Linked DNA regions of Callithrix jacchus. The protein of the gene in region 6 interacts with the protein of the main gene of each other region in a pairwise test. Links are inferred from orthologs where the notes say so. Each region holds a gene or a part of one and is shown on either strand. Other genes may lie near its edges. The genes, in order: NUDT18, MAPK3, NIF3L1, EIF5A2, REL and DHPS.

Region 1 (4,943 bases), on a different chromosome or scaffold from region 6:
GTGGCCTGATGATGGCTCACTGCAGCCTCAACCTCCTGGGCTCAAGCAGTCCTCCTGCCTCAGCCTCCTGAGTAGCTGGGACTTACAGGTGTGCACCACCTCACCTGGCTAATTGTTTTTGTTTTGTTTTGTAGAGACAGGGTCCCACTATGTTACCCAGGCTGGCTTCAAACTCTAGCCTTTAAGCAATCCTCCTGCCTCAGCCTCCCAAAGCACTGGGATTACAAGTGTAAGCCACTGTGCCTGGCCAAAGTTCTTTTTTATTTTGAGGGAGTGTGTCACCCAGGCTAGAGTGCAATGGTGCAATATCAGCTTAGCTCACTGCACCCTCTGCCTCTGGGGTTCAAGTGATTCTCCTGCTGAGCTAGCACACTTGCCTCATTTTGTATTTTTAGTAGAACCAGGATTTCTCCATGTTGGTAAGGCTTGTCTTGAACTTCCAACCTCAACTGATCCACCTGCCTCAGCCTCCCAAAGAGCTGGGATTATAGGCATGAGCCACTATGCCCGGAGCTTACTTAAAAAATAAAAAAAATCCTACCGTGATTCAGCCAGGCTGAGGGGAAATGAAGACAAGGTTTGGTCTGGCGTGGGCTGAAGTTGTGAAAAGGCAGAGGCAGGAGAGCCGTGGGAGGGGTCCACACCAGGGAGGCTCAAGGAGAAAGCTGAGGCAGCGCTCTCTCCTGTCCCACGTGAACCTCCCCCAGGGTCACCCACTACCCAACCCTTGGAGGACTCAAGCTGTGTTTCATGAGGGATGGGTCCCCTCAAGAGTCACATCCCAGGCCAGCAGCCCAGCCTGGACAGCAGGCTGGCCCGCATTGTCAGTGCACTGGGAAAGACATAGGTGGCTGTCGGTGGCACAAGGGGAGGAGCAGCTCTTGGACGCAGTCCACATCACTTTGTCCCCACAGAGACATCTAGGCAGGGAGGCAAGGTAAGCAACACCTCTTTACTGAGCAAGGGCTCCTCCCTCAGGAGACCTTCCCCAGGGCCCCTCCCAGCTCTAAGGGCCTGGAGGGATCAGGATGCAGGCCTTTCCCAAGGAAAACACAAACTGTGATGACAAGACACCACTGGGAGTGCAGAAAGCTCCCAACCCCCGGGGAGAAGTGCCAGTGTGCCCGAAGAGTGGCCAGGTCCTGAGCTTTGGATTCCTTGCTTGGTTAAAGGCACTGTCCCTGTGCGATCTAGAGGAAAGCTCCTCAAAGCATCTCTTCTGGGGACCAGGAAAGCACCCCTGCTCCCAATGCAACAAGATCCCTGGTCGCCAGCCTCCTGCCTCCCTCAGAGGGAGACAAGGCCACACTGGAGGGAGCACAGCCGCCCAGCTCCTCGTCACCTCCTCCCCCGCCCTATCTGTTCACTGGGACAACAGAGGATCCCTGAAGCCGCTGAAGGAGCTGGCTTTGCAGGCCTTCCTCCGTCACCTTCCACCAAATGAAGTTCTCACCCCGAACCTTCGGGGGTTCATCCTGGATCCCTGGGCTCCGAAAAGCCACAGTCACCAGCACATTCAGACAGATGCCATCAGTGTGATCTCGGCCCAGGTGCTGCAGCCCAAGCAGCCCCTTGATCTCCACCACCAAGTGGTGCAGGGTCAGACACTCCTGCAGCAGCCGCAGGACAGCCATCTTCATGCCACCCCTCTGCTCCGAAGGGGCGAGGCCACAGGCAGTGACAGGCAAGTGAGGCATCCCCACTGTGCCAACCAACACCCACACTGTCTGCGCACTGGTAAAGGTGGCCACAAGCCGCTGGCAGACCAGATCACAGGGCAGCTCTTGGGGCAGAATGAGAGGGTGCCTGGCTTGCTGGCGATACTGGGCAGCGAGCTCAACCAGGTGCAGGATGTCATGGGCTCGCAGTGGAGTGGGCAGGGAGGTCCGTGGGTACCAGGCAGCCTGCAGGGACTCTGCATCAGCCTCCTTGGAAGTCTTGAGAATTCCACCTGGGGAGATGTGGGGGATGGGGCAGAGGGTCTGTGTGGAGAGAAGTGCAGTGTTGGCAGCTTCAACAGACATCCCTGACCCAGGAGAGAGGCCCCCAGCCTGCAGGCTGGAATCTGCCCATGCCAGAGTGCCATAACAGGACTGGCTGTGGAGGGGCTCACCTCACCAAGCAGCTGGGGAAAAGATGTCAACTGGCCCTGTTCATACTGCCTCCAGGTAGGCCATACCTGTGGGGCGAGCGAGGAACACGAAGCGGACCCAGGAGGGGCCCCGCTCCTCCACGGACAGCAGTGTCTCAGGCTCACAGTGCAGCCCCGCCTCCTCCTTCACCTCCCGCTGCAGCGCCTCCACGATGGACTCCCCAGGCTCCATTCTCCCCGCGGGCAGGTACCACGACCCCCGACACTCTCTCTTGGCCTCCTGGACCAGTAGCACCTCATCCTGAGGGGAGAGAGCATCTTCACTTCCTGCCATAGCCTTCCCCAGCCCAGGGACCAGGGGGCATCTCAAACACAGTCGCCCAAGATCGCCCTTAAACCAGCTAGCGCTGCGGGAGATCTGCCCTCAAGTTGCTGGGGGCTGCAACCTTCTCCCTGCAATTAGTCCCTCTCTGGAGTTAAGAAAACTTGCACTTCAGAAAGGGCTGAGATTCCTGGAAGCTGCTTCAGGGGCTGGAGATGAGGCCCCAGAGTGAGGGCCACCATGTGTCAGTCTTGCATTGACTTACGTCTGTACATGTCATTGGGTATCTCTTGTCTCCAGCGGCGTGGCCTATGAACTGTTTGTGATGGATCCTCACCCTGGGGTCTGGCTTTGAAACACGACCCCCGACCTCCACCTTGTACAACCCTGCCCTATGGCCCTGGCCCCTTCTAGTTGCCCAGTACGGGGATCCACACCAAAGGCCTGAGGTAAGCCAGGGTTGAGCGACTGCTATCTGAGGGGTCCTGGGCACTCCGCTAGACTCTGGGAAGGGAAAGAATGAGGCCTAGTGGGGTGAGACGAACAGGCCCCCGGCCTGAGTTTCCTCTTCTCCATATTGGGACGACTGCAGGACACAGATGCGAGTGGGAATGGGAGTGCTTTGCAAAACTGGGCAGCGCCATGCACGCGGCAGCGCTGGCTGTGGCCGTTGGGTCTTCCGTTCCCACCTGGGCTGGCTGCGCGCTCCCGAGGCCCTGCGGGCCCGGCTGGCGGCCGCTCACCTGCTCGCTGAGGAACACCGCCAGCACCACGTAGCACACGTTCTTCCGCAGCCGCACCGGTGCCGGTGGCTCCCCGGCCGGCGCCGAGTCGCAGCTCTGCACGCGCAGCCCCTGGCCGGCCAGCACGGCCGCCAGCACTCCCGCCATACCCTCGGAAGCCATCGGGTCCCCCGGGAAGCGACGGCCCGGGTCCTGGCTGACCCGCCGGACCGAGCCGCGGACAAGTGCGGGATCCGGCGGCGGCGGGCCTGGGCGCGCACGCGAACGCGGAAGCGCACGCAAGCCCTGGTCGCTGATAGGCTGCGCGGCGCCGCGGCCTGCCCGGATTGGCCGGCCCGCGACAGTCACCGAGGGGGCGGGGCCGCTTGGGAGCAGGGTGGGTTCCCGGCCGGAACCCCACGGACTCCCACCGGGCTTCTGCCGCCTGTCGGTCCCGCACGCTCGGGACGTCTCCCAGCTGCCCCCTTCACCGACTGCCTGAGCGCGCACTGGTCCGCAGGGGCTCCGATGGTCAAGTTATCTCTCATGCAGGGTGCTTTTCGCCGCCGGCGCAAGCGACAGTGACGTACAAGCCAGGTGACGTCACGGAGATCCGGGGCCGCCCCTTGGACCTACCGTCCCGCTGTTGCCGTAAACACACTACGGCATTGCCGGAGTTGATCACATCCCAAATAACTTTGTTCTCACTCTACTAAAGAGTTATGTCATGTGGCCCCTGGGGTGGGGGACGTAAACCCCTGCCTTTCAGGATATTCTGTTGTAGCTGGAGAGATGGGCGTAGTCCTAGATGAGGAATCAGCTGACGGTTCGAGGCTAAGTGCTAAAGGCTTGGCTTGGGCAAGAAGAGTGACCGGCGCTGGAAGAGGGAGTGGGCAGGGCCGGGGGTGGCGGGAGGTGTCGGGGGCTGAGAGAGGGCTGCAGTCAGCCGGCCCACCCTCATCAGTGGCCCTCTGCCCACCTCATTTCCCACGCAGCTCAAGGCCCTCGCCGCTGCAGACGGTGCGTCCTGGGAGGGCGGGGCTGGGGCCCTGCTCCTCCATCCTTGTCGTCACCCTCCCACCCAGCGTGCAGGACCTGGCGCATGGAGAGCAGGGTGGGGGTTGTTGTGGCGAGCGCCGGCTCCTCTCCCATCCCGACCTTTCCTCCTTCACTCGCATTTCAGCAGTGGAAGTCAAGGCCAGCTGGAAGGGATCTTCGAAGCAGGCCGTCTGGCTCCTCACCCCACAGAGGCCACCCCTTTCCTCTTCCTTGGCTGGTTTTTTGCACCTCCCTGCTAGGAAGACAGGCTTGGTGGTGTGGACAAAGCTCGAGACCTGGAGCCAGATGGCTGGTCGCTGCTGGCTGTCTTGCTCTGTGCCCCTGGGTGAGCTGTGGGCCTCAGTTTCCTGATTTGTAGAGTAGGGTCATAACAACTCTTGTTTTACAGGTGTGTTGGGAAGGCATGACAATCAGAGAGGAGCTGTGTGGATTGTCCAGTGCTGGGCACCACCCCTGGGCAGCCCACCAACCCTCAGGGGTGGTCCCTCTCGGGCCTAGCTCTTCTTGCTACCACACACAAGGCCCGTCCTCATAATATGTGCCTTTTGTTACCCCCTAGAGACAGGGTTTCATTCTGTTACCCAGATTGGAGCTGCAGTCTTGAGCTCTTGGGTTCAAGCTATCTTTCTGCCTCAGACTGCTGAGTATCTGGGACTGCAGGTGTGCGACACCAGGTCTGGCGAAGTTTTTTAATTTTTAATTCTTTGTAGAGATAGAGGGGTCTTGCTATATTACCCAGGCTGGTCTC
Region 2 (4,171 bases), on a different chromosome or scaffold from region 6:
TAGGTGTGGATATAGAGATAGAGATCTATATTTAGTATCAGTGTGTCTGTGTGCGGGCCATGGGGACACTCACCAGGCCCCAGGGCACAGGATATCTGTCTAGGTTAGGGGGCCTCCAGCGCCCCAGGCTGGAAGCGTGCTGTCTCTTGGAAGATGAGCTCCTTCAGCCGCTCCTTGGGTAGGTCATCCAGCTCCATGTCGAAGGTGAAGGGCTCCTCGGCCACTGGCTGGGGTGGCAGAGACGGTAAGGCTCAGGCCCGGTGTGGGGAATGCCGACTTGATCCCCTGCCCCCAGCCCCGCTGCTGCTAGGCACTGGCCCACCTCATCCGTTGGGTCATAGTACTGCTCCAGGTAGGGGTGGGCCAGCGCTTCCTCCACTGTGATCCGTTTGTTGGGGTTAAAGGTTAACATCCGGTCCAGCAGGTCAAGGGCTATGGAAGGGCAGGAGTCAGGGGTCACAGGGAAGGCTGGAGGAGCTCCCAGGAGCATCGCTTTGCTTCCCCATGCCCAGGGCCCGTCTCCTCCGGTGGCTGCTGGACTCACGCACCCTCCACAGCTCCCAGGGTTTATGCCACACCCGTCCCCACGTCTCTCATACCTTTGGAGTCCGACTTGGGGAAAAGCTTGGCCCAGGCCACCTTGGTCTTGGAGGGCAGAGACTGTAGGTAGTTTCGGGCCTTCATGTTGATGATACAATTCAGGTCCTCCTGGGATGGGGAGCCCAGGATGCCTGTGGATAAGGAGGTGACTTGGTAAATGATCACCTCCTCCTTTCTGGGAACAGAACAGGCAAGAGGGCAAGAACAAGACCCCCCAGCCTAGCAACCCATGCCAAACTCTTAGTCACCTCCTAGTCTGCTCTCCCAGCAGAGCAAGGGGCTGGATTCAGGCAGACTGAGGCTCAAATCCTAGGTGTGGTGCCTCCTTAGGTGTAGGACTTAGCCTTGCTTTTCCCATCTTTCCAGTGGGGATAATATCTATACCTCGTTGAGGTCTAGGAGATGCTGGAGGCACCCCGTACATGATGATGATATCCCTGACTCGGACTCTCAAGAAATCTCACCTAGGAAAAGCTAATTATCCCCCACTCAGTCAGCCGGGACTCCCTCACCCAGAATGTGGTTGAGCTGATCCAGGTAGTGCTTGCCAGGGAAGATGGGCCGGTTGGAGAGCATCTCAGCCAGAATGCAGCCCACAGACCAGATGTCGATGGACTTGGTATAGCCCTGGGAGAAAGGAGGAAGTGATGGGCTCCCGGGACAGCCTCAACAGGGTCCTGCTGCCTGTGCCAGGCCACCACCCCAAGCTAGATCCAACACCAGGCAGAAGGCAGAGGCCTGGAGGGCTCCACTCTCAGCTTCCTTGCAGAGCCCAAGCCCAGAGGGTGGAATGGGGGTCAGTGCCTGGCTCAGAGGTAGCTCCAGGGCTTCCTGGGACCTGGCCCCTTCCCTTCAGGAGTGGGCAGCCCCTCCTACCTTGGAGTTCAGCATGATCTCTGGGGCCCGGTACCAGCGTGTAGCCACATACTCTGTCAGGAAGCCAGTGTGGTCGTGCTCAGGATCAGCAATCCGGGCCAGGCCGAAATCACAGATCTGGAATCAGACCCAGCTGCTAAGCTTGGCACTCAAGGCCTCCGCAGCCCAAGCAGTCACTCCCCCTTGTCTTTGCTTCTGCTGTTCCCCTGGCTTGCAATGTTCTCCTGCCAATGGCTTCCACTGGTCACCTGGAAGCTCCAGACCCTGGGGGAGGAGGAGACAGGTGCCCAACCCTCTGACCTTAAGGTCGCAGGTGGTGTTGATGAGCAGGTTGGAGGGCTTTAGATCCCGGTGGAGGACATTGGCGGAGTGGATGTACTTGAGGCCCCGCAGGATCTGGTAGAGGAAGTAGCAGATGTGGTCATTGCTCAGCTGCTGGCTTTTAAGCAACTTGTACAGGTCAGTTTCCATTAGGTCCTGCACAATGTAGCTAAGGATGGTTCCGGAGGCCCCCCGGGCAAGGGGCAGCGGGAGGCACTTGGTTAAGGAAAACAGGCTCTGAAGGCAAGCCTGCACACCTCCAGCCAGGGCCCTTGGGGCTCAATAGAACTTCCAACCTGCACCGCCAGCTGGGCAAGCTGCCGTTGTCACCCAGCAGCAGGACTCAGCCTCTGTTGCATTGAAGCTGCTGAGCCTGAGCAAAAGGCTTCATTTCTGTGGCCTCAGTTTCTCTACTGGGAAAATGGGGATACTAATAAACTGTGGGAGGCAGGAGAACCTCACAGTTAAGAGCAGCAACTGGGGCTGAGCAGTGGCTCACGCCTCTAATCCCAGTACTTTGGGAGGCTGAGGCAGGAGGATTGCTTGAGGCCAGGAGTTTGAGACCAGCCTGGGCAACATGGCACAACCCCGTCTCTACTAAAAATTCCAAAATTAACCGGGCACAGTGGCATGTGCCTGTAATCCCAGCTACTCAGGAGGCTGAGGCATAAGAATGGCTTGAACTCGGGAGGTTGGGGTTGCAATGAGCCAAGATCTTGCCATTGCACTCCAGCTGGGATGACAGGGTGAGCCTCTGTCTCAAAAATAAATAAATTAATTTTAAAAAATAAAAAGGAGTTAACCCATGGATGTGTGAAATCCTCTCTCTACTACTCACTGGCTTTAAGATCTCAACTTGTCTGTGCCTCAACTTTCTCACCTAGTATGTCGGGGAAATAATGTTTTTTGTTTGTTTATTTGCTTTTTTCTTTTTTGTGGAGATGGACTCCTGCTATGTGCTCAGGCAGGTCTTGAACTCCTCGGTTCAAGAGTTCCTTCCGCCTCGGCCTCCCAAAGTGCTGGAAATTACAGGTGCAAGCATGAAATAATGGTTCTTTCGAGGGTGGCTGTAAAGACTAGATGAGGTGGCGCATGTAAAGCTGTCAGCCCAGCGCCTGGCAAGTTGTGAGTGCTAAAGAAACGTGAACTATTATTACTAATATCAAGGCCTGAGTCACAGGGACGCCGCGGGAGTTAAATGAGATAATGGATGAACACCATCTGGCATGCAATAGATGTTTGCTTAAAAATAAATGCCTGCCTTATGGGAATGGTTTGTGCAAGAAAAACGAGGAGACACTCCCAACAGCACACTCCCACTCAAAGAAGAGTGCTTGGCCATACCTCAGAAGATGGAGGAGTAAAATGTCTTTTTCCATTTGAAGCTAAAACAAAGACTGTGAGTAAATAAATAAATAAATCCACAAATGTCGTTTGGCTTGTGTCTGGAAAAATAAGTCAGGTCTGTCTTTTAGAATCTGCCTTGAGGCCAGGCGCTGTGGCTCACACCTGTAATCTAGTACTTTGGGAGGCCAAGGTGGGTTGGTGATCTGAGGTCAGGAGTTCGAGGCCAGCCTGCCGACATGGTGAAATCTCTACTAAAAATATAAAATTAGCCGGGTGTGGTGGTGCACACCTGTAGTCCCAGTTACTTGGAAGGCTGAGGCAGAATTACTTGAACCTGGGAAGTGGATGTTGCAGTGATTGGAGATCTAGCCACCGCACTCCAGCCTGGGCAACAGAGCGGGGGGGGGGGGGGGGGGGGGGGGAGGGGGGGTCTGCCTTGAAGAAGTCTTCAGAGAACATCTGGACCAGCCCTGCTGTTTTAGAGCTGGGGAGGCCCAGTGAGATGCAGTGACTTGCTTCAGATGACACAGCGAGCTGGGGCTGAACGCGGAGATTTCCTGTCCACAGTTTGTGGTGGGGGCTATAGACACCAGAGTACAAATCCCCTCTCTTGGGTGGAGTGCTGGGACCGAGAGTGATTGGGTGTGGCAGGGAAGAGGTGACAGGTGTCACAAGTTGCTAACAAAAGAGCCAGCCAGGAAGTGGACAGCAAACCAGGAAAGCAATATCAGGGGAGGAGACCAAGGCTAGGTTGTCTCCTCCCTGGGCAAAGTGCAAGTCCACAGGTGATTAGGGTGCTGCTTGGAGTGAGAAGTCCTAGAGGAAGGACAACTTCCCATCTGGGGGAGGGGAGGAGGAGACAGCAAGAGAAACACTTGATTTTAGGTTTTCTGGGTCTTAGCTTCCTCATTTTTTTTTTTTTTTTTGAGACAGGGTCATTCTCTGTCCCCCAGGCTGGAGTACAGTAGCACAATCACAGCCCACTGCAGCCTCTAACTCCTGAGCTCAAGCCATTCTCCTGCCTCAG
Region 3 (4,461 bases), on a different chromosome or scaffold from region 6:
CCGGGCTGTAGCAGATCATTAAGGGCTTCCAACGCTGTGCTAAAGAGCCTGGACTGCCTCCTAGCTGCTCAGGGATACTACTCTCATCGCAGAAAATGAGAGTTTCAATTACTGTGATAGCAGAGCCAATACAGAGGAGAAACACTATATAGATGTGAGGCCAGAATCAGCAGGCCTTGGAGTCAAGGAGGAATGTGAAAACGTGGAAACTAAAGTAAATAATGATATTGAAATATGAAATAGGAAAAAAAAAGATACAAAGAGGTGGTGCAGGGATAAGTATTTGTATATATTGAATTTGAAAAACGTGTGGGCTTTGTAAGTAGAACACATCCAGAAAGTAGTTGAAAATAAGGGTTTTTGTCATTTTTTTCCTTAAGAAAGCATTCTAAGCCAAAAAGATAGGAATTATCATCATACAAATGGCTATTGAGTTAAAGTGAATGACATGGTCCAGGCAGAGGGAGTAACATAAGGAGACAGCAAACTTGTAACCAAATCTGTAACCCTGAAGTACCAACATTTTAATTCCTGGAATGTCTCCCTTCTCAATTACTTCCCAGAGAATATTATGCTCTCATTGCCATTTTGTACTTTAGGTAACAGTGAATGGCCTGTTGATCTAATAACTTACAAATGGATTCCCTGAAGAAAAATGCAAAGTAATGACACTCATCAAACTGTATATACCAAATATGTATGATTCTTAGTATATCGGTTATACCTCAATAAAGTTGTTAGAAAATGCACAGTATTTTAAGATCAAATACAAAATACATTTATTACCTTCTCTAGTGACAGAATTTCTGTCTTCCGATAAAGTTGTTTGTTCTGGGAAAGAAAATCTACGACCTGCATCAAAGCCTTCTGAGTACAATTCAAACTAATCCGTGTTTGTTCCTCATCATCAATTCTGGGGGGGGGGAAATCATTCCATTTAGGATAAATATAGCCAAAATGTATTTTAGATAATCCACAGTTTACAAACCTACTATAATAGGAGATTAGATTTACATGGAGCTAAGGATTTAACCAATAGAACCCATTTAATATGAAACTAATCAATTTTCTAGAATAGCATTTCTCTAACTCAAGTATGCATCAAAATCACCTGGAGGACTTATTAAAACACAGAGTGCTGGGCCCCACTCCTGGGGTTTCTGATTCATTATATCTAGGTGGGAATCTAAGAATATACCTTTCTAGCAAGTTCCAGGTGATGCTGATGTTGCTGGTCCAGGGACCTCACTTTGAAACCACCATTCAAGAACTGTTCTCAATCCTGATCGTGCATCAGAAATTTCCTGGCCAGGCACAGTGGCTCACACCTGTAATCTCAGTATTTTGGGAGGCCAAGGTGGACGGATCGCTTGAGCCCAGGAGTCGAGACCAGCCTGGGCAGCATGGAGAAACCCCAACTCTACCAAAAACACCAAAAAAATTACCCAGGCATGGTGGTGGGCGCCTGTAGTCCCAGCTACTAGGAAGGCTGAGGCAAGATAATCACTTGAACTTGGGAGGTGGAGGTTACAGTAAGCGGAGATCACAACACTGCACTCCAGCCTGGGCGAGAGAGCAAGACTCTGTTTCAAAACAAAAAAAAATTCCTTCTAGCTTCTTAAAATAACAGCTGCTGGATCCTTCCACAGAACCAGTGAAACAGAACATCTACAAATGGGGCTGGGGCAAACTGAATTTTTTTAAAACCTTAAAGATGATAATTTTAAAACAACACTGAATCCAAGAATGTCCTGGACAGATTCTCAGGCAAACTCCATTTTACTTACAAAGATCTGAGATGAATACAAATATCTGCATTTTAAATAAGCAGCTCATTAATAATCATGCAGGGGGTCTTTGGATCACCCTCTGGGGCCTCTCCAAAATTATTGGCATCAAGAAAGTTTTACATTTAACCATAAACTCTAAATATGATCATAAAATTCTAGAACTAAAAAGACACCTTTAAAAATAATCTAGAAGCATTAATTATAAACACTGGAATCATCTGTGGATTGTTTTAAAAAAGAAAGAAAACCAATGCCTTGGTCCCTATCTAATGGTAAAACCCAGATATTATCTACAATATGGAAAAACTGGAACCAAACTAATAAGTCCATCAGTAGGAAGAGGAATGCTTAAAGAAACTACCGTTCATCCATAATAAAAAAAAAAAAAACACTATAAGCAATTAAAAATAATGAGAGCTTAGGCTGGGGGCAGCAGCTCAATCCTAGTACTTTGGGAGGTCAAGGGGGGCACATGGCTTGAGCCCAGGAGTTCGAGACCAGCTTGGGCAATAAGTCAAAACTCCGTCTCTACAAAAAATACAAAAATTAGCTGGGCATGGGTGGCAAGCACCTACAGTCCCAGCTATTTAGGAGGCTAAGGTGGGAGGATTGCTTGAGCATGTGAAGTCAAGGCTGCAGTGGGCTGTGATCATGCCACTGCACTGCAGCCTGGGTGACAAAGACCCTGTTTCTCAAAAATAAAAAACAAAAAGAAAAACCTCCTTTCTCTGCCCTAAATAACTAAATGACTGACCTTTTAAAGAGGCGCTTAATGTATTTTTCCTTTGACACCTGAAGTCCTAGCTCAAGAGGCTGAGGTGGGGCTAGGTGTGGTGGCTCACGCCTGTAATCCCAGCACTTTGGGAGGCTGAGACAGGCAGATCACTTGAGGTCAGGACTTCAAAACCAGTCTGGCCAACATGGTGGAATCTTGTCTCTACTAAAAATACAAAAAATTAGCCGGGCATGATGGTGGACGCCTGTAATCCCAGTTACTTGGGAGGCTGAGACAGGAGAATCACTTGAACCCAGGAGGCAGAGGATGCAGTGAGCCATGATCACGCTATTGCACTCCAGCCTGGGTGAAAGCAAGACTCTGTCTCAAATAAATAAATAAATAAATAAAATGCAGAGTATCACCCCCCAACATAGAAATACTCAATTAAGTGTTACTTACCATTTTTGTTGTTTTGAAAAAAAGTCAATAGTTCTCCAGGACTCACATACAAATGAGGAGTACGCTGCTTTGTAAACCAAATCCAGAGAAAATGATTTGTTTCAAGCCTAAATACCAGGGTTATAGACTTTGTAAGGAAGAAGCTTACAAATAAATACACACACAAAAAAAAAGAGAGAAATTTTACCTAGCAGAAAAAGAAGTGACAGAAATATCTTCAATTCCTTTCACTGCGGACATGACTTTGTCCAGGTCTTGGCTGTGATTAATGCTGAATTCTACTCGGTGGTTTCCCTCTGTAGGGTAGTTGGGAGCTTTGGAAGGATGTATGGGTCTGGAAGTACAACCTCCTAGAGAAAATAATTGTGGGAAAATGGGAGTTTTGGGGGATGAGAGGTTAAGATTTAAAAGATAAACTATTGTAGGCAAAATTTCTAAGAAATGACTTTTTTAAAAGATTCATTCTCATGCTTATATGATACATACACACACACATACATATCCCTTAGATATACATCACCATTCCCCATAATCTAGGGCTTTGGTATGGACATACAAAGTCAAATTATTTTCAGAATTATTTTCCAAAAGATTCTTAAATCTCTAAAAAACTTGGACAAGAAAGATTGATTCATACATTTTTAGATAATACACAGAACTGTCTACTGCTTGGTAAATCTACCCACATAAACCATTATTCAGGTTGCAAATGCTCGTACTCTATTTGACCATAGTAATCCAGATATCATCATAAAAGCTTCAGCCCAAAATGAGTAAATTAAAGACTTATTAAAGTAAAGCTAAAATGCATATATCATTCCCTCATTGGGCTAGGCATAGGTAAACATTCACTAAAAACATTCATTAAATCCCTGACGTCTATCTACCTGACGTATCAAGTGTATTCTGGAGAGACCTGAGCTTTCAATTCAACAAGCATTTTTCAAGTGCCTAGGTGACAGGCATTGTGCCACAAAAATGAGGAATCACGAAGCTCAGTCCAGTAAGGAAGACTTCTGCTCTCATTCCATAAAGATAAAAAATGTTTCTCTTTTCAAATGCAATTTAACTGCCAAATTTCAGCAAAATTATTTTAAAATGATATAAAAATGGAATGATACCCTTCCCACCCCGAAAGCAGTCAAAACTTTACTGGAAAGACATTCGAAAGTTTCAAAGTATTTGTAGGTAAAATAACAAATATGAAAGCGGCTTCTCACCAAGCCCTTTAGCCAACCAGTTGTTGACTCCCTGGGGTGCAGCATCATAGGCTGTGTGAGGAGAGTAGATAGCCACTCTGTTCTCCAGAGCCCGGATCACCAGGCGCTCCTTCCAGGTGTTCCACGTTATGCGTTTCATGGGTCGGAAGATAGGTGGATGGTAGGAGAGAATGAGGTCTGCCTTCCTCTGCAGCACCTCCTCCATCACTTCCTCAGTCAGGTCATTCGTCAGGAAGAGGGTATTTACAGTATGTGGTGGGCTTGGTTCCACCAG
Region 4 (5,023 bases), on a different chromosome or scaffold from region 6:
CTACTACACACCACATCAAATTTGGTGCTCTAACAATAAAGAAATGATAAAGTAGAATTTATACATAGGAAAAGGGGGAAACAGAAGAATACTTGTTGATACATATCCACAAAAGGGGTATATTTTCTCATTTATCCTCATATTATCCTGATTTTGTGATGAGAAAACAGGCTAAGACAGGTTGTATAACTTGTCCAAAATCATCCAACTAGAAAGTGGCAGAACTAGATCCAAACCCAGATCTACCTCATTAAAAAACAAACAAAAAAACAAAAAAAACACTTGCTGTTATATGAAGACAATTCAAATTTCTACAAAGACTTCAAAGCAATCTAGAAAACATTTAGGACAGGTAGGAAAGTGAAAATATAAGTGTTACTAGATTGAAACTCCAAAAATTATGTTTGCAGGTGGACAAACAGCAAAAGAAAATCATTGGGTGCAGCTGATAGCAACATTAAAAAAATCTATATAATACAATAAAAGGTACAGAAAAAAGTCAGTTTAATTTGGATAAAACAAATCTCAGTGTCAACTCTGCATTTTTTACTATGTAAGATGAGCAAAAATGAGTTTGATATATGGTATGCTTGATACAAAAAGTGAAGACTTTCAAGAAAAGCTTTAGCTTTGAGTAATCTGAGCTTCCATATCCTATGAGGTCAATTATTTGGTTACCATCGATATTCCAAACACTAAGATGCTATCATTAAATATGACCTCCCCAATGTATAACTGAAACTTGAGGTTTACATATATAAGTTAGCAAAAGGTCACAGCATGGTCACTAAATATAATTAAACCATTTATATAGTTTTTGTGTTTTCTTTATCATACTCGGTGACCGTGTATTTTATCCTTTATATTTATGGGTTTCAGCTTATTTCCCTACTTAAGAATGTCAAGTTCTGACTCATGTTCATTAACATGAAAAACTTGGTAGGAACATGAATTTCAGTAGTTTCTTGAATGTCTTAAGTCTGATCAGTGAAAAGAAACAAAACATCCAGGAGGGAGCTATCTAAATTAGAAATATTTTACAACAGAGAGGATGGTACTTTTACAAAGCATAGGACTTAGCTGGAATATGCAGTCACTTGGCCTGAGGAACACAATAAGTATTTGACTTTTTAAAAAATGCAAGAATATGAAAAAATAGCAAGCTGGCAATAATCCTATAAAAGGAACACATGTTAAACATCATAATTTCTCCAATTTCTAAGATAGGTGGTGCCTAATACTTGGTTAGAAAAACCTACAAAACCACTCTTGGGTTTTGTCAAATTGCTGTTGATAGTATGAAGTATTTGTACCTTGAAGAAACAAGCAACATTCTAAAGAAAAATCAGTGCTTACTTGGTAATCATTTCTCTTAATATTTGGAACATCCATGTTGTGAGTAGAAGGACAAATATCTTCATATTTTTTGCCCGTGAAAATATCAATTCCAACAAGGTGAACCTAACAGAGGGGAACAGGAAACCTGTTTAATCTCTGCCAAGTATATCACTCATTACACACACAAGAGTACAATACCAACGCTGATTACGACAGGTTCTTTTTCTCCTCCTTCCAAGGTCATCTAATTTTACTTTCTTAAAAAAAAAAAGTAATGGTCATACAATTAAGATGCAGTAACAACTAAAGAGTATCATGACCTGCCAAGACCCAATATAGTCCAGTGATTCAATTATGAGTAGACAAGAAAAATAAAGTGTAGGTTTCTTAGAATTAGTAGAACAGGTTTTCTCATCTGTAAACTGAATAGACCTAGGTCACTACCATTCAAGAAAGTTTCAGTTCCCCGTTAATGAAACATTGTAAGGGTCCAAGAAAGGAATGCTACCTTTAAGTTTTCAAAGTAATAACTGATCACTCAGCAATTGTGGGACAGAAAAAAATAGTGCTTATTACAAAATTTTAAGTATAGTAATCTCATGATCTGCAACAGAATACAAATGAGCAAAATCCCAAGGCCGAAGCCAAAGCCTGAACAGCAAGGGCACTTACCTTGGCATGACCATGCTTTCCAGTTTTGGAAGTTGACATCTCCACTATTTTGCATGGTCGTCCTTTGAGCACCACAAAGCCGTTTTTGCGCAAGGCCGAGCACTGCATAGGGTAAGTGCTGGAAGCCCCAGCATCTCCAGTAGTGAAATCAATTTCGTCCGCCATGGTGGGTTGGGGAGGTGGTAGTTTTTCTGTGTGAACTACACAAAAAGTTTGTGGTTGCTTTTTAACAATGGGTGTGTAGGCAGGGAAACGTCTCATTTCGGACAAGTTATGTGCCAAGCATCATGGGCCTGTTATTTCTGCATGTATAGAACACCCACCCTAGACTAGCGGGCACTCTCTAACTCTGGCCTCTAGAAACTTTTCCAGCTATTGTTTGGGGAGGTGGGATGAGAAGTCGCAGAGGAGCCCGCAGAGGGTGGGGACATCCGCCCTGGGCGCTCCTCCACGCTGGAAACAGCAGGTTCTGGCGCCCATCGCCCCAACGCAGAAGCCGGCGACCTTCCCGCGCCACCCAGCTCTCCGCCGCCGCCCCGAACCCTACTGCGGGGGACCCAGCCCAGGCCGCACGTCCCCGCGAAGGATGCGGAGTAACAGGACCTGGCCGGCAGCACCCGGCCCTCTGCTAACGGGCGCGCACCGCGCCCTCCACCCTTCAGCGCCGCCGCTGCGGCCGCACAAGCGCCTCCTGTTCTGCCGGCATCCCCGGCTCTGCTCGGCTCGGCCCGGCCCGGCCCGGCTCGGCCCCACCAGGGCCTGAGCCCCGGCGGGTCCCGCGCTTGCCTCCGTTCCCCTATCCATTCTTCTTCCTTCCCTCGGTCAGCGCTCGGCTCTGGGCGCCTTCCCCGGCCCTGCCTCGCTCTGGCCCCATCCCCATCAGCTTTTCCCCAGATCCTCACCTTTCAGCTGGCTACGAGCGCCTTTCGCCTGCGCACCCGCGCAGGTCCCCCACAGCTGCGGCGCCGGCGGCGGCGGCGCTGGCGGCCGCGGCAGTTCCAAGAGCCGGGGCGGGGCCGCCACACTTTCCACACCCCAGCCTCCCCGCCCTTACCCGCCCCCACCCCAGCCTTACTTCCGGGATAGGCCCTGGAGCGTCACAGGCACCGCCCCCTCGGGCTACCATTGGCTACCAGGTTCCCGAGGCCCCGCCCAGTCACGTGAAGCGCGCCCTGGCAACCCCACGTGCTGCGGATTAGTGCACTTCCGGCGTGGAGAGCACTTTCAGCATTCTGGTTGCTTGAGTGAGCTCGCTGGCAGAGGAACTTGCGCCTTCCAACTCTTAGGTTTGTTGCGTTTGGGTCGCAGTCTACTTTAATGGGAACCAAGTGAGGCACCCGGTGGCCCGTGCCGTCAGGTACATGGCAGTTATCACGGGACGATCGTCGGCACTCGTGAGGTGCGCAGATTCAGTGAGTGCCAATGTGGCTGGCTGTGAAGGGAACTTTGGGTTAGAGCTTCTGGTTCAGCTTGCAGCCTTTCTTGGGGTTCGAAGCCCCCTCCTGGTCTTCGCAGAAGAACTCACGTGCAGTATTTTATTACCCGGCTCGGCACCATGGGTTCTGAGAACCTCACTCACCCCTTGGTGAGATTTTGGCATTGACTGCCGCAGGGTGCCCCTGTAGAGTCAGCACTGCTCCCTGGGGTGGACACTCCTGAAGCATCCGCCAGCTTACAAGCAGCAGTGAAATGACTTAATCCACTTCTCACACCAAAAGCTGTTGTGAAGTTGTGGAGGCGGAGCTTGTCTGACCCGTATCACATTGTTGGTCCAGACAGGTGTCCTGCCAACTCATCCCTTCTTTCCTCCTGGTATTGGCATTCCTTAGAGTTTGGGTTTTAACTCTGCCGTATTAGAACGCTTGGATGGTCTTCACAACTGACCTAGAGCTTGTAGACTGCAATAGAAAGGTTCTTAAAAGAGATGTGCTCCCCCTTCACATTTTTATTTCACAACCCACTGTGTCCTTTCTTGGGGAGGTGACCTAGGAAATTACTTCTCATTCCACACCCGCATTTATGTGGTACTTTGATTTCCTGTTACTGTCTTATGAATAATCTCATATCTCACATTCATATATGACTACAGTTTACACATATCTTTCAAACATGTACAGTTTAACTTTTACAGTAAGTTACTGCCCTCTCATATACTGAACTCAGCCTCTAGCTAATATATGAAACAGCCATTACAGCAGTGGCTCATGCCTGCGATCCTAGCAGTTTGAGAGGCCTCCGCAGGTGAGTTGCTTGAGCTCAGGAGTAGGAGATCAGCCTGGCTAACATGGCGAAACCTTGTCTCCACCAAAAATACAAAACATTAGTGATGGCCTGCGCCTGTGGTCCCAGCTACTTGGGAGGCTGAGGTGAAATGATCTATCACTTGAGCCTGGGAGGTGGAGACTGCAGTGAGCCGAGATCTGGACATTGCACTCCAAACTGGGTGACAGAGTGAGACCATCCCGCCCCCCCACGCCCAATCACCCAGAAAGAAAAAGCCAGATTGGAGTTTTGGTTCATGAGGTCTTTCTGCTTTTCCTTATACCTTCTAACTTTTCCCTATTGTTTTTAGAATGAGCACTAATAGTATTTAGTATTTATATAGGGAAGTAGGGTACTAAATTTTTCACATGCATTGTTCCTTTGATCTTGACTGCTGCTCTCTATTTTTAACCTTTTTAAGTTATTCATATAAAGTAAAATTTCCCTTTTAGTTTTATGATGAGTTTTATGATGATCAAGATATGTTTTTCAAAACTCATAAAACTAAAAGGGACAAATTTTACTTTATATGGGACTTTATATACTAAAAGGGACAAATTTTAAAATCTATTTTAAGTAGACTGGGCGTGGTGGCTCATCTATTATCATCAAGATATGGAATATTTCTCTCATTCCAAAATCTTCCTAGTGGCCATTTGTGGTCAGTTTCCTCTCTCTACACCCAGCCCCTGGGAAATATTAACCGTACTGTTTTAACCTGCATTTTTAGTTATGGAAAACGGCGAGAAAA
Region 5 (4,461 bases), on a different chromosome or scaffold from region 6:
TCTTCACAGTTATATCCACAGTTTTGTCTTTTTATTTTTTCCTCTTTTCCTTTTCTTTTCTTTTTTTTTTTGAGACGGAGTTTCACTGTTGTTTCCCAGACGGGAGTGCAATGGCGTGATCTTGGCTCACCGCAACCTCCGCCTTCTGGGTTCAAGCAATTCTCCTGCCTCAGCCTCCCAAGTAGCTGGGACTATAGGCGCGCACCACCATGCCCAGCTAATTTTTGTATTTTCAATAGAGACGGGGTTTCACCTTGTTGACCAGGATGGTCTCGATCTCTTGACCTCGTGATCAACCCGCCTCGGCCTTCCAAAGTGCTGGGATTATAGGTGTGAGCCACCATGCCCGGCCCCTCTTTCACTTTTTTAACAGATCTATATTAGATAGATGTCTAAGGACATTTCTTAAATATAGTATGGAGTCTTTCCCACTGCAGATAGTTATATGGTGCTTGTGTATTAACCTAAGTAGAGCGACTCATAATGTTTAGTGTACATTGACAGCTTTTGGATCATGTTCTCTTTCATGGAACACACAGCTAATAAGGAAAACACATTCTCTCCTTACAGAGGTGAGTGATATTATTCTGTAGATTAAACATGGATTTGAGAACTCAATCACAATTCTTCTTGGCTAGTCTTAGGACTAGAACATCTTTTTCTTCTTTTTCCTTACCTTTATTGCCTGTCTCTGATTCTCTGACTCGTTGACTGATTTGAAATAACACTTTTTAAATATGGTTTTTTTTGTATTAGCATAAATTTTGAAAAACTTTTGACTTTGGTAAACATACTAATAGTTATAAGATGTACTAGATTTATTTATTTTTATTTATTGAAACAGTTTCGCTCTTGTTGCCCAGGCTGGAATGCAATGGCATGATCTCGGCTCACTGCAACCTCTGCCTCCTGGGTTCAAGTGATTCTCCTGCCTCAGCCTAACGAGTAGCTGAGATTCCAGGCACCCACTACCATGCCCAGCTGATTTTTGTATTTTTTGGGAGAGTCGGGGTTTCACCATGTTGGCCAGGCTGATCTCGAACTCCTGACCTCAGTTGATCTACCCGTCTAGGCCTCCCAAAGTGCTTGGATTACAGGCGTGATGTACTAAATTTATATTTTCTATTTGTCAGCTATTTTTTTATTTGACTTTCAGTGAAGGGTTTATCCTTTAAATGCCAATTAAAAACTTTAATGGCAAAGTAGATTTTGAAGTGTTACTTTTATCAACAGATCTTAATTCACTGTTTTATAAGTAGATTATTTACAAAGTCTATTCTTTTGATGAACTTAAAGGGAATTGCTAATTATAGAATAAACTAATGGCAAGATTATATATTGAATTCCAGATTCCTATTTTTATCACATTTTAGGCAGTAATATGGATTTGGGTTATCTAAGTATTTTAAATGTTAAAATGGATGAGGTGCTAATAAAAAGGAAATAAGGAAATACTATTTGTCCAATTTTGGAGCCATTTTTAAACTATAATTCATCTTATCCTATGCATCTCTAAAATATTTCTAAGATCTGTATTTTTACAATTCCAGTAGGTCCTGAACACTTTGCAGCTTGAGTTTTGTATTTGCCTCCTTAGAGTCTTGAGCAATTACCTTCTCTTTCATCCAGAAAGAAATGTAATACCTTCTGGTTACTGTTCAAATTCTATTTAAATTCAAAATTACAGATTTTAGTGGCCGCTACCTGGTAAGCTACCCATTCTTACTTTACCTTGTTCCTTTGTGGTATGCTGGTTTTTATATGCCCTGCTTTGTTCTTACAAATTTACTAGCTTTCAAACTAAGCATTAGTTTCTATCCTTCCTTTTCCATGTTAAACTCTCCTTTTTACTCTGTTCTGTATGTACTTTCTATGTGAAATTTGATGTTGTTAAACTAAATTTGATTTATTGCCTATTCTAGAGTGAACTCTTGGGGTATGCTTACTGAACAAATATTTTTATGAAGTGGAATGTCACATATTAAGTAAAATGATCATTTTATATGCTATCCTTTCCAGTGTGGCTTAAATATATTTTCAAGGAATGTTTATGGCATGACAGTACATTTAAGAGCTGGGCATTCAGTAACTTAACATCTGTTTTCTCATGTCTATGATAAAATTTGGGTATAGTTTATTTGTTTTGAAAGGAAAATAAGCATAGTCAAATGATTTGACCAATTGAAATTAGGGCAGAAAATATGTCAATGAACTGAGAGGTAAGTTTTTCTCTACTGGTATTCTCTGGAAAGTTTCATCAGTTGGACTTTATTTATCAGGTGTTGATTACATGATAATTAATGTAAATTGAACTCTCATTTAGATCTGTTTATAATGTGATCCATTTGGATCATATATTTAATTTCCCCCTTTTTTCAGATTATGAACTATTATGGAAAAGGAAAAGTGAGAATTACATTAGTAACGAAGAATGACCCATATAAACCTCATCCTCATGATTTAGTTGGAAAAGACTGCAGAGACGGCTACTATGAAGCAGAATTTGGGCAAGAACGCAGACCTTTGTTGTAAGTATACAGTTACAGACATCTTCAGAAACAAGATAAGGCATAGGATGCTCTGTTTCTTCTCCATGACAATTTGTTACTTTTAAGCAGAATAATTTTCTCATTCTAATTCTGTTTACTATGTTTTACATCTTCTTACTATTTGCATTACAACTACCCTTTCGTTCTTCATTTGTAGACACATCTTATGATGATGATTAGCAGGAAGACATTTTTGTAGTTATTTAAAGTAAACATTAAACTTATTGTATACTGTGATTTCCTTTCTTGGGGTGAACAGTTTTTTAAATAATTTTTTACTATCTTTTCATTTATAGTTATCTTTATTATTATTGTTGTTATTATTTTGAGACAGGGTCTTACTCTGTTACCCAGGCTGGAGTACAGTGGCATGATCTCGGCGTATTGCAACCTTTACCTCTAGGCTCAAGCAATCCTTTAGCCTCAGCCTCCTGAGTAGCTGAGACTACAGGATGTACCACCATGCCGAGCTAATTTTTGTATTTTTCGTAGAGATTGGATTTTGCCGTGTTGCCCAGGCTGGTCTTGAACTCCTAGACTCAAGCAGTCTGCCCACCTTGGCCTCCCATAGTGCTTGGGATTATAGGTGTGAGCCACCATGCCACACCCATTTATAGTTAATATAAAAATGGCTGGATGTGGGAGAAATCAACTGGAAAACTCTACAATTATTATTTAGAAAGTAGCAGGTTATAGAATTAACATACAGCAATAGTTCTAAGAGAAAAATAATTATGTAATAGTTTATGATCGTGAGGCTACCAGAAGGTGGGCCCATTCATCATGTTAGTGAGAATGTAAATTAATGAAATCTGTTAGGCAATTTAACTACATAGCAAAAGCCTGAAAAATATGAATGCCTCTTGAGCCCGCAATTCCACTTCTAGTTTAGCTTCAGAAAATAAATAAGCCTATTCAGACATTTCACTCTAGTGCTGTTCATTGCAGTTCTCTTTGTAATGGCAAAAAGCTAGAAGCAATCCAAATAGTAAAGGGGATTAACTAAATAAACTGGTACATTCATCCAGTGTACTCCTGTACAGCCTTAAAAATCATATTGCAAATATGTCTACTGATATGTAAAGACAATCACAATATATTAGATACATAGGGTTTTTTGCTTTGGTTTTTTTTTGTTTTTGAGACGGAGTCTTATTCTGTTGCCCTAGCTGTAGTACAGTGGTGCAATCTCGGCTCACTACAATCTCCATCTCCCAGGTTCAAGCAATTCTTCTGCCTTTGCTTCCCAATTTAGCTAGGATTACAGGTGTGTGCCACCATGCCCAGATAATTTTTTGGTATTTTTAGTAGAGACGGTTTCATCATGTTGGCTGGGCTGGTCTCAAACTTCTGACCTTCAGTGATCCACCTGCCTCAGCCTCCCAAAGTGCTGGGGTTACAAGCGTGAGCCACCGCAGCTTGCCAGATAAATAGGTTTTAAAACAATATGTGAAGAATAATCTTATGTTTATAAATATAAATTTATATATATACATGATAGTACATATGTTAGTACTAAAGTATTAATAGTAGTTGTCTGGGTGGGTAAGATTGTAGGGTTTTATGTTTGTCTTTTACCTTATTTTATAATTCATTTTTGTAATGAACATGTATTGGCTTTTGGGGGAAAATGAACTAGTTACAATAAAAAAGAGATTCATAGTCCCACATATATTAGTAATAACCATTTAGAAAAAAAATGCCTTAAATGCTCCTCTTAACAATAATAACACAAAACATACACACTTGGCAAATATTTGTCTATATTACTTGACCTCTCAATAACATTTTACATTGTGATCACTTCTTACTTGAAACATTTTTATTCTTTACTTCTGTGAGAATAAACTTCCGTTTTACTTCTTGCTTTTCTGGCTGTCCTTTCTTAGTTCCGGGCAGTTAAATTTTTGAA
Region 6 (4,983 bases):
AGAGATCAAGACCATCCTGGTCAACGTGGTGAAACCTTGTCTCTATTAAAAATACAAAAAATTAGCTGGGCATGGTGGCGCGTGCCTGTAATCCCAGCTACTCAGGAGGCTGAGGCAGGAGAATTGCCTGAACCCAGGAGGTGGAGGTTGCGGCGAGCCGAGATCGTGCCATTGCACTCCAGCCTGGGTAACAAGACTGAAACTCCGTCTCAAAAAAAAAAAAAAACTTCATCTCAAAAAGAAGGAAAAAAAGCTGGGCACAGTGACTCACGTCTGTAATCCTAGCACTTTGGGAAGCCGAGGCAGGGGGATCATGAGGTAAAGAATTCAAGACCAGCCTGACCAACATGGTGAAGCCCCATCTCTATTAAAAATACAAAACTTAGCTGGCATGGTGGCGGGTTCCTGTAATCCCAGCTTCCCAGTAGGGTGAGGCAGGAGAATCACTTGAACCCAGGAGGCAGAGGCTGCAGTGAGTCAAGACTGAGCCACTGCACTCCAGCCTGGGTGACAGAGTGAGATTCCATCTCAAAAAAAAAAAAAACTCCTGATTGCACTCAACATAGTTAACATTCCATCTTCCCAATCAGACTGTGGGCTCCAGTAGGGTCCACATCTTGGTCTCTTTCACCACTAATTCCTCAGTGTCCAGCACAGGGCCCACCGTATAGAACATACTACACGAACTGTAGAGTAAGTGAATAATTCTCTCGACTGTATGCACTGTTAGGAGGGTGCTTTGAGATACCGAGGGTCTCACAGTCTTGCTGGAGGGAAAGATGTCAGCTGTGGGTCCCAGAAGAGGCTACTGACCCAGTGGAAGTTCAGGGAAGACTTCCCAGAGGAGGTGACAGCTGCAGCCATAGGGGAAGGAAGAACAGAGCGTTATGCAGCATGTGAAAGCTTTGGAAACCTGCAAGGGCACGAACCAGGCTCACTATTCCATTAGACAAGAGAGGCTGAGGAAAGCTGAAACCGTGTTTCACTCCGCCTGGTGACTGAAATCCTGTCCATGGGCGACGCTTAAGAAGCGATCCTCTAAACTCCAAGAATGTTAAGTTAAAAAAAAAAGAAAAAGAAAATGAAAGGAAAAAGAGAGAAAAAAAGAATAGATTCCCATACAAAAATTAGCTGGGCACTGTTGGGCGCGGTGGCTCACGCTTGTAATCCCAGCACTTTGAGAGGCCAAGGCGGGCGGATCATGAGGTCAAGAGATGGAGACCATCCTGGCCAACATGGTGAAACCCCGTCTCTAATAAAAAAACAAAAATTAGCCGGGCATGGTGGCGCGTGCTTGTAGTTCTAGCTATTCGGGAGGCTGAGGCAGGAGAATCGCTTGAAACCGGGAGGCAGAGGTTGCAGTGGGCCGAGATCGCGCCACTGCACTCGAAGCTGGCGACAGAGGGTGACTCCGTCTCAAAAAGAAAAAAAAAAAGTAGCTGGGCACGGTGATGCACATCTGTAGTCCCAGCTACTCCGGAGGCTGCGGGGGAGTCGGAGGTTGCAGTGGGCCGAGACTGCACCACTGCATTCCAGCCTGTGAGACAAGAACGTAACTCTATCTCAAAAGAAAAAAAAATTGAAATAAAAAAAATGAAAACAAAAAAAGAATCTTCATTTATACGAAGTCAAGAACTCGTGAAAAGGAATAAAGGCTCCTCGCGGCTTCCGTATTACGGAATACGTGCATAAAGATGGCAGCTACCTGGGTTCGGAGGGCTAAAGAAGGTCACGTGATCGAACAACTTCCGGTCTTCCAAGGCGCTTTCCTGGCTTCCTGTGATCTTGTGGAGACGTGCCTGTCGGGGTAAACGCGTTTCTGGACAGCCGTAACTCCGGCCTAGGGGCATCTGTGACTCGAGAGCCGGTTGCAGGTGCATGGAAGGTTCCTCAGAAGGGGAGGCGCCCGCGGCGGCGCTGGCCGCTGTGCTAAAGCACAGCTCGACGTTGCCGCCCGAAAGCGCCCAGGTCCGGGGCTACGACTTCAACCGCGGCGTGGATTACCGCGCACTGCTGGAGGCCTTCGGCACCACCGGCTTCCAAGCAACCAACTTCGGGCGCGCTGTACAGCAAGTCAATGCCATGGTGAGGACGGGGGCGGGACTTCCAGGGCCGCGGAGAGGCGTGGCTTGTAGAACCAGGGCGGTACTCGAAGGGGGCGGGCTTGTATTTGAGCGGCCCAGCAGTTCGAAGAAGGCGGGACCTATACTGGACGGGAATTTTGTCCTGGGAAGGGGACTTTGCACTCTAGTAGTTACATCCTAGGACAGCCTGAGGAGGCAGGAACGGTTTCTTGGTGGGCGGCCGGGTTCTAGGTCTAAAGCTTTCTGGAATGAGCGGAGCCTGGGGCAAAACAGGTTAAGGGGGCACATGGGAGGAGGAGCCTAAGTCTCCGCGCCCCGGGGCTTGAACTTAGATTTGCTTTTGCCACCGGGGAAGGGACGGGATCTGAAAAGGAGAGCCCTCTTGTTCTTAAAAGGGTGGGGACAAATCCCGAATGCGTGTCCTGAGATCTGGTCTGGGAAGGGGCAGGGTTTGTTTGCACAGGGGGTGTTCCTTGGTTCCTGGTAGTACTGGTCCTGTATCCCTGAATGGGCAGGACCTGGGGTGGAATGTTTCTGGAGCCCACCTGGAGTCCTGGGGCTGGAATTTAGGACCAGTGCTTAACTCGACTTGGCTCTTACCCCCAGATTGAGAAGAAGCTGGAACCGCTGTCACAGGATGAAGACCAACACGCAGACCTGACCCAGAGCCGCCGCCCACTTACTGGCTGCACCATTTTCCTGGGATATACATCCAACCTCATCAGTTCAGGCATCCGTGAGACCATTCGCTACCTTGTGCAGCACAACATGGTGGGGACCTGGTGGGGCCGTGGCCTTGGCCTCTGGGTCAATGGGCGATGCAGTTATTAATCGTTTAAGTGAGATGGGAGATAGGGGTCCGTTTTAAGCAGAGGAATAGAATCAAGTTTTGTTTTGTAGCAGAGCTCTCTTTTAAGAGTAACTGGACGAGGACGAGCTTAGAAGTCCTGCCCAGAATGAGGGCAGGGTCTTCCTTCTTGGGCCAACTTCACTGCCTTGTGGCTGCAGGTGGATGTATTGGTGACTACAGCTGGCGGAGTGGAGGAAGACCTCATCAAGTGCCTGGCCCCCACCTACTTGGGCGAGTTTAGCCTCAGAGGGAAGGAGCTCCGGGAGAATGGGATCAACAGGTGGGACTCCTGAGTGGTGGTGGGCAGGGGAGCTGGACCACGGATCCTGGGGCCTGATGCCCACCTGCTTCCTGTCCTCAGGATCGGAAACCTGCTGGTGCCCAATAATAATTACTGCAAGTTTGAGGACTGGCTGATGCCCATTCTGGACCAGATGGTGCTGGAGCAGAACATAGAGGTGGGGCCAGGGTGACTGGGAGGGGCCAGTCCAGCAGTAGTCAGGGGAGGCGTGGGCTGAAGCTCATGTCCTTTCCTAGGGTGTAAAGTGGACGCCTTCAAAGATGATCGCCCGCCTGGGCAAGGAGATCAACAACCCAGAGTCCGTGTATTACTGGGCCCAGAAGGTGAGGATATAGGCAGGGGCAAAGTAGCCAGACTTTGGCCTGTGTTAACTTACCTTATCTTTCCAGCCACCTGGGGAGTCACTACTGTTATTCTTAGCATCCTCACTCTTCGATGAGGAGACTCCAACACAGATAGGGGTGGTAATTTTTTTTTTTTTTTTTTGAGACAGGCTCTTGCTCTGTCATCCAGGCTGCAGTGCCTGGACTCAAGCAGTCCTCCCACTCAGCCTCTTGAGTAGCTGGGACCACAAGCATATGCCACTGTGCCCCAAAATACTAATTTTTGGCCGGGCGCAGTGGCTCACGCCTATAATCTCAGCACTTTGGGAGGCCGAAGCGGGTGGATCACGAGGTCAAGAGATCGAGACCATCCTGGTCAACATGGTGAAACCCCGTCTCTACTAAAAATACAAAAAAAAAAAAATTAGCTGGGCATGGTGGCACATGCCTGTAGTCCCAGCTGCTCGGGAGGCTGAGGCAGGAGAATTGTTTGAACCCAGGAGGCGGAGGTTGCGGTGAGCCGAGATCGAGCCATTGCACTCCAGCCTGGGCAACAAGAGCGAAACTCCGTCTCAAAAAAAAAATAATTAATTTTTAAGTTTTTTTTTAGAGATGGGGGTCTTCCTATGTTGCCCAGGCTGGTCTTGAACTCCTGGCCTCAAGCAGTCCTCCCACTTGGCCTCCTAAAGTGCTGGGATTATAGCCATGGCCCACCATTCCTGGCCTGGCTAGGTAATTTTGTCTGAAGTCACCCAGATAACTAGTGGGGCCTCAGCCTCCTTATCCTCCTCCCAGACTATCTCTGGAACAGTAGTGGCAGCACTTAGCAACTCCCCTGGGGCCTGGCTCAGGGTCCAACACTCCCAGAGGCTATAAAATAAGAGCTACCCACTCCCTTTAATTAGATCTTCAGAACCTGAAAAAAAAAAAAAAGAAAGCTACTTTTTTTTTTTTTTGAGATATAGTCTTGCTCTGTTGCCCAGGCTGGAGTGCAGTGGTAGGATCTCAGCTCACTGCAACCTCTGCCTCCTGGGTTCAAGTGATTCTCTCACCTCAGCCTCCCGAGTAGCTGGAACTACAGGCACCCGCTATCATGCCTGGCTGATTTTTGTATTTTTGTACAGATGGTTTCACCATCTTGGCCAGGCTGGTCTTGAATTCCTGACCTCAGGTGATCTGCTGGCCTTGGCCTCCTAATGTGCTGGGATTATAGGTGTGAGCCACCACGCCCAGCCTACCTATTCTTTTTTTGAGACAGAGTCTCACTCTGTTGCCCAGGCTGGAGTGCACTGGCACAATAATGACTCACTGCAGTGAGCTTCTGGGCTCAAGCGATTGTCCTGTCCCAGCCTGCTAAGTAGCTGGGACTACAGGTGCATGCCACCATGCCTGGCTAATTTTTTTTTGTAGAGATGGGGTCTTACC

What was found.
Region 1: the proteins of DHPS (region 6) and NUDT18 interact in binary tests that used the Homo sapiens proteins (3 or more experiments, as listed by UniProt). The two-hybrid records come from large-scale screens. The link is inferred for Callithrix jacchus from reciprocal best matches to the Homo sapiens genes DHPS and NUDT18.
Region 2: the proteins of DHPS (region 6) and MAPK3 interact in binary tests that used the Homo sapiens proteins (3 or more experiments, as listed by UniProt). The link is inferred for Callithrix jacchus from reciprocal best matches to the Homo sapiens genes DHPS and MAPK3.
Region 3: the proteins of DHPS (region 6) and NIF3L1 interact in binary tests that used the Homo sapiens proteins (3 or more experiments, as listed by UniProt). The two-hybrid records come from large-scale screens. The link is inferred for Callithrix jacchus from reciprocal best matches to the Homo sapiens genes DHPS and NIF3L1.
Region 4: the proteins of DHPS (region 6) and EIF5A2 interact in binary tests that used the Homo sapiens proteins (3 or more experiments, as listed by UniProt). The two-hybrid records come from large-scale screens. The link is inferred for Callithrix jacchus from reciprocal best matches to the Homo sapiens genes DHPS and EIF5A2.
Region 5: the proteins of DHPS (region 6) and REL interact in binary tests that used the Homo sapiens proteins (3 or more experiments, as listed by UniProt). The two-hybrid records come from large-scale screens. The link is inferred for Callithrix jacchus from reciprocal best matches to the Homo sapiens genes DHPS and REL.

The regions. Positions count from the first base shown.
Region 1 is NC_133514.1:19,378,349-19,383,291, reverse strand, and holds NUDT18 (8-oxo-dGDP phosphatase NUDT18), read right to left. Parts: upstream 3,426-4,943; 5' UTR 3,320-3,425; coding exon 3,158-3,319; intron 2,394-3,157; coding exon 2,180-2,393; intron 1,952-2,179; coding exon 1,356-1,951; 3' UTR 931-1,355; downstream 1-930. UniProt on the Homo sapiens protein: Mediates the hydrolysis of oxidized nucleoside diphosphate derivatives. Hydrolyzes 8-oxo-7,8-dihydroguanine (8-oxo-Gua)-containing deoxyribo- and ribonucleoside diphosphates to the monophosphates. Hydrolyzes 8-oxo-dGDP and 8-oxo-GDP with the same efficiencies.
Region 2 is NC_133513.1:29,409,615-29,413,785, reverse strand, and holds part of MAPK3 (mitogen-activated protein kinase 3), read right to left. Parts: intron 1,967-4,171; coding exon 1,777-1,966; intron 1,594-1,776; coding exon 1,477-1,593; intron 1,228-1,476; coding exon 1,113-1,227; intron 732-1,112; coding exon 600-731; intron 433-599; coding exon 323-432; intron 228-322; coding exon 105-227; 3' UTR 74-104; intron 1-73.
Region 3 is NC_133507.1:122,002,787-122,007,247, reverse strand, and holds part of NIF3L1 (NIF3-like protein 1), read right to left. Parts: coding exon 4,188-4,461; intron 3,318-4,187; coding exon 3,155-3,317; intron 914-3,154; coding exon 787-913; intron 1-786. UniProt on the Homo sapiens protein: May function as a transcriptional corepressor through its interaction with COPS2, negatively regulating the expression of genes involved in neuronal differentiation.
Region 4 is NC_133518.1:16,140,163-16,145,185, reverse strand, and holds the start of EIF5A2 (eukaryotic translation initiation factor 5A-2), read right to left. Parts: upstream 3,011-5,023; 5' UTR 2,913-3,010; intron 2,211-2,912; 5' UTR 2,176-2,210; coding exon 2,011-2,175; intron 1,462-2,010; coding exon 1,357-1,461; intron 1-1,356. UniProt on the Homo sapiens protein: Translation factor that promotes translation elongation and termination, particularly upon ribosome stalling at specific amino acid sequence contexts.
Region 5 is NC_133515.1:53,236,841-53,241,301, reverse strand, and holds part of REL (proto-oncogene c-Rel), read left to right. Parts: intron 1-504; exon of another isoform or gene 505-572; intron 573-1,550; exon of another isoform or gene 1,551-1,707; intron 1,708-2,379; coding exon 2,380-2,528; intron 2,529-4,461. UniProt on the Homo sapiens protein: Proto-oncogene that may play a role in differentiation and lymphopoiesis.
Region 6 is NC_133523.1:11,498,952-11,503,934, reverse strand, and holds the start of DHPS (deoxyhypusine synthase), read left to right. Parts: upstream 1-1,763; 5' UTR 1,764-1,878; coding exon 1,879-2,085; intron 2,086-2,249; exon of another isoform or gene 2,250-2,357; intron 2,358-2,690; coding exon 2,691-2,855; intron 2,856-3,092; coding exon 3,093-3,214; intron 3,215-3,295; coding exon 3,296-3,392; intron 3,393-3,471; coding exon 3,472-3,558; intron 3,559-4,983. UniProt on the Homo sapiens protein: Catalyzes the NAD-dependent oxidative cleavage of spermidine and the subsequent transfer of the butylamine moiety of spermidine to the epsilon-amino group of a critical lysine residue of the eIF-5A precursor protein to form the intermediate deoxyhypusine residue.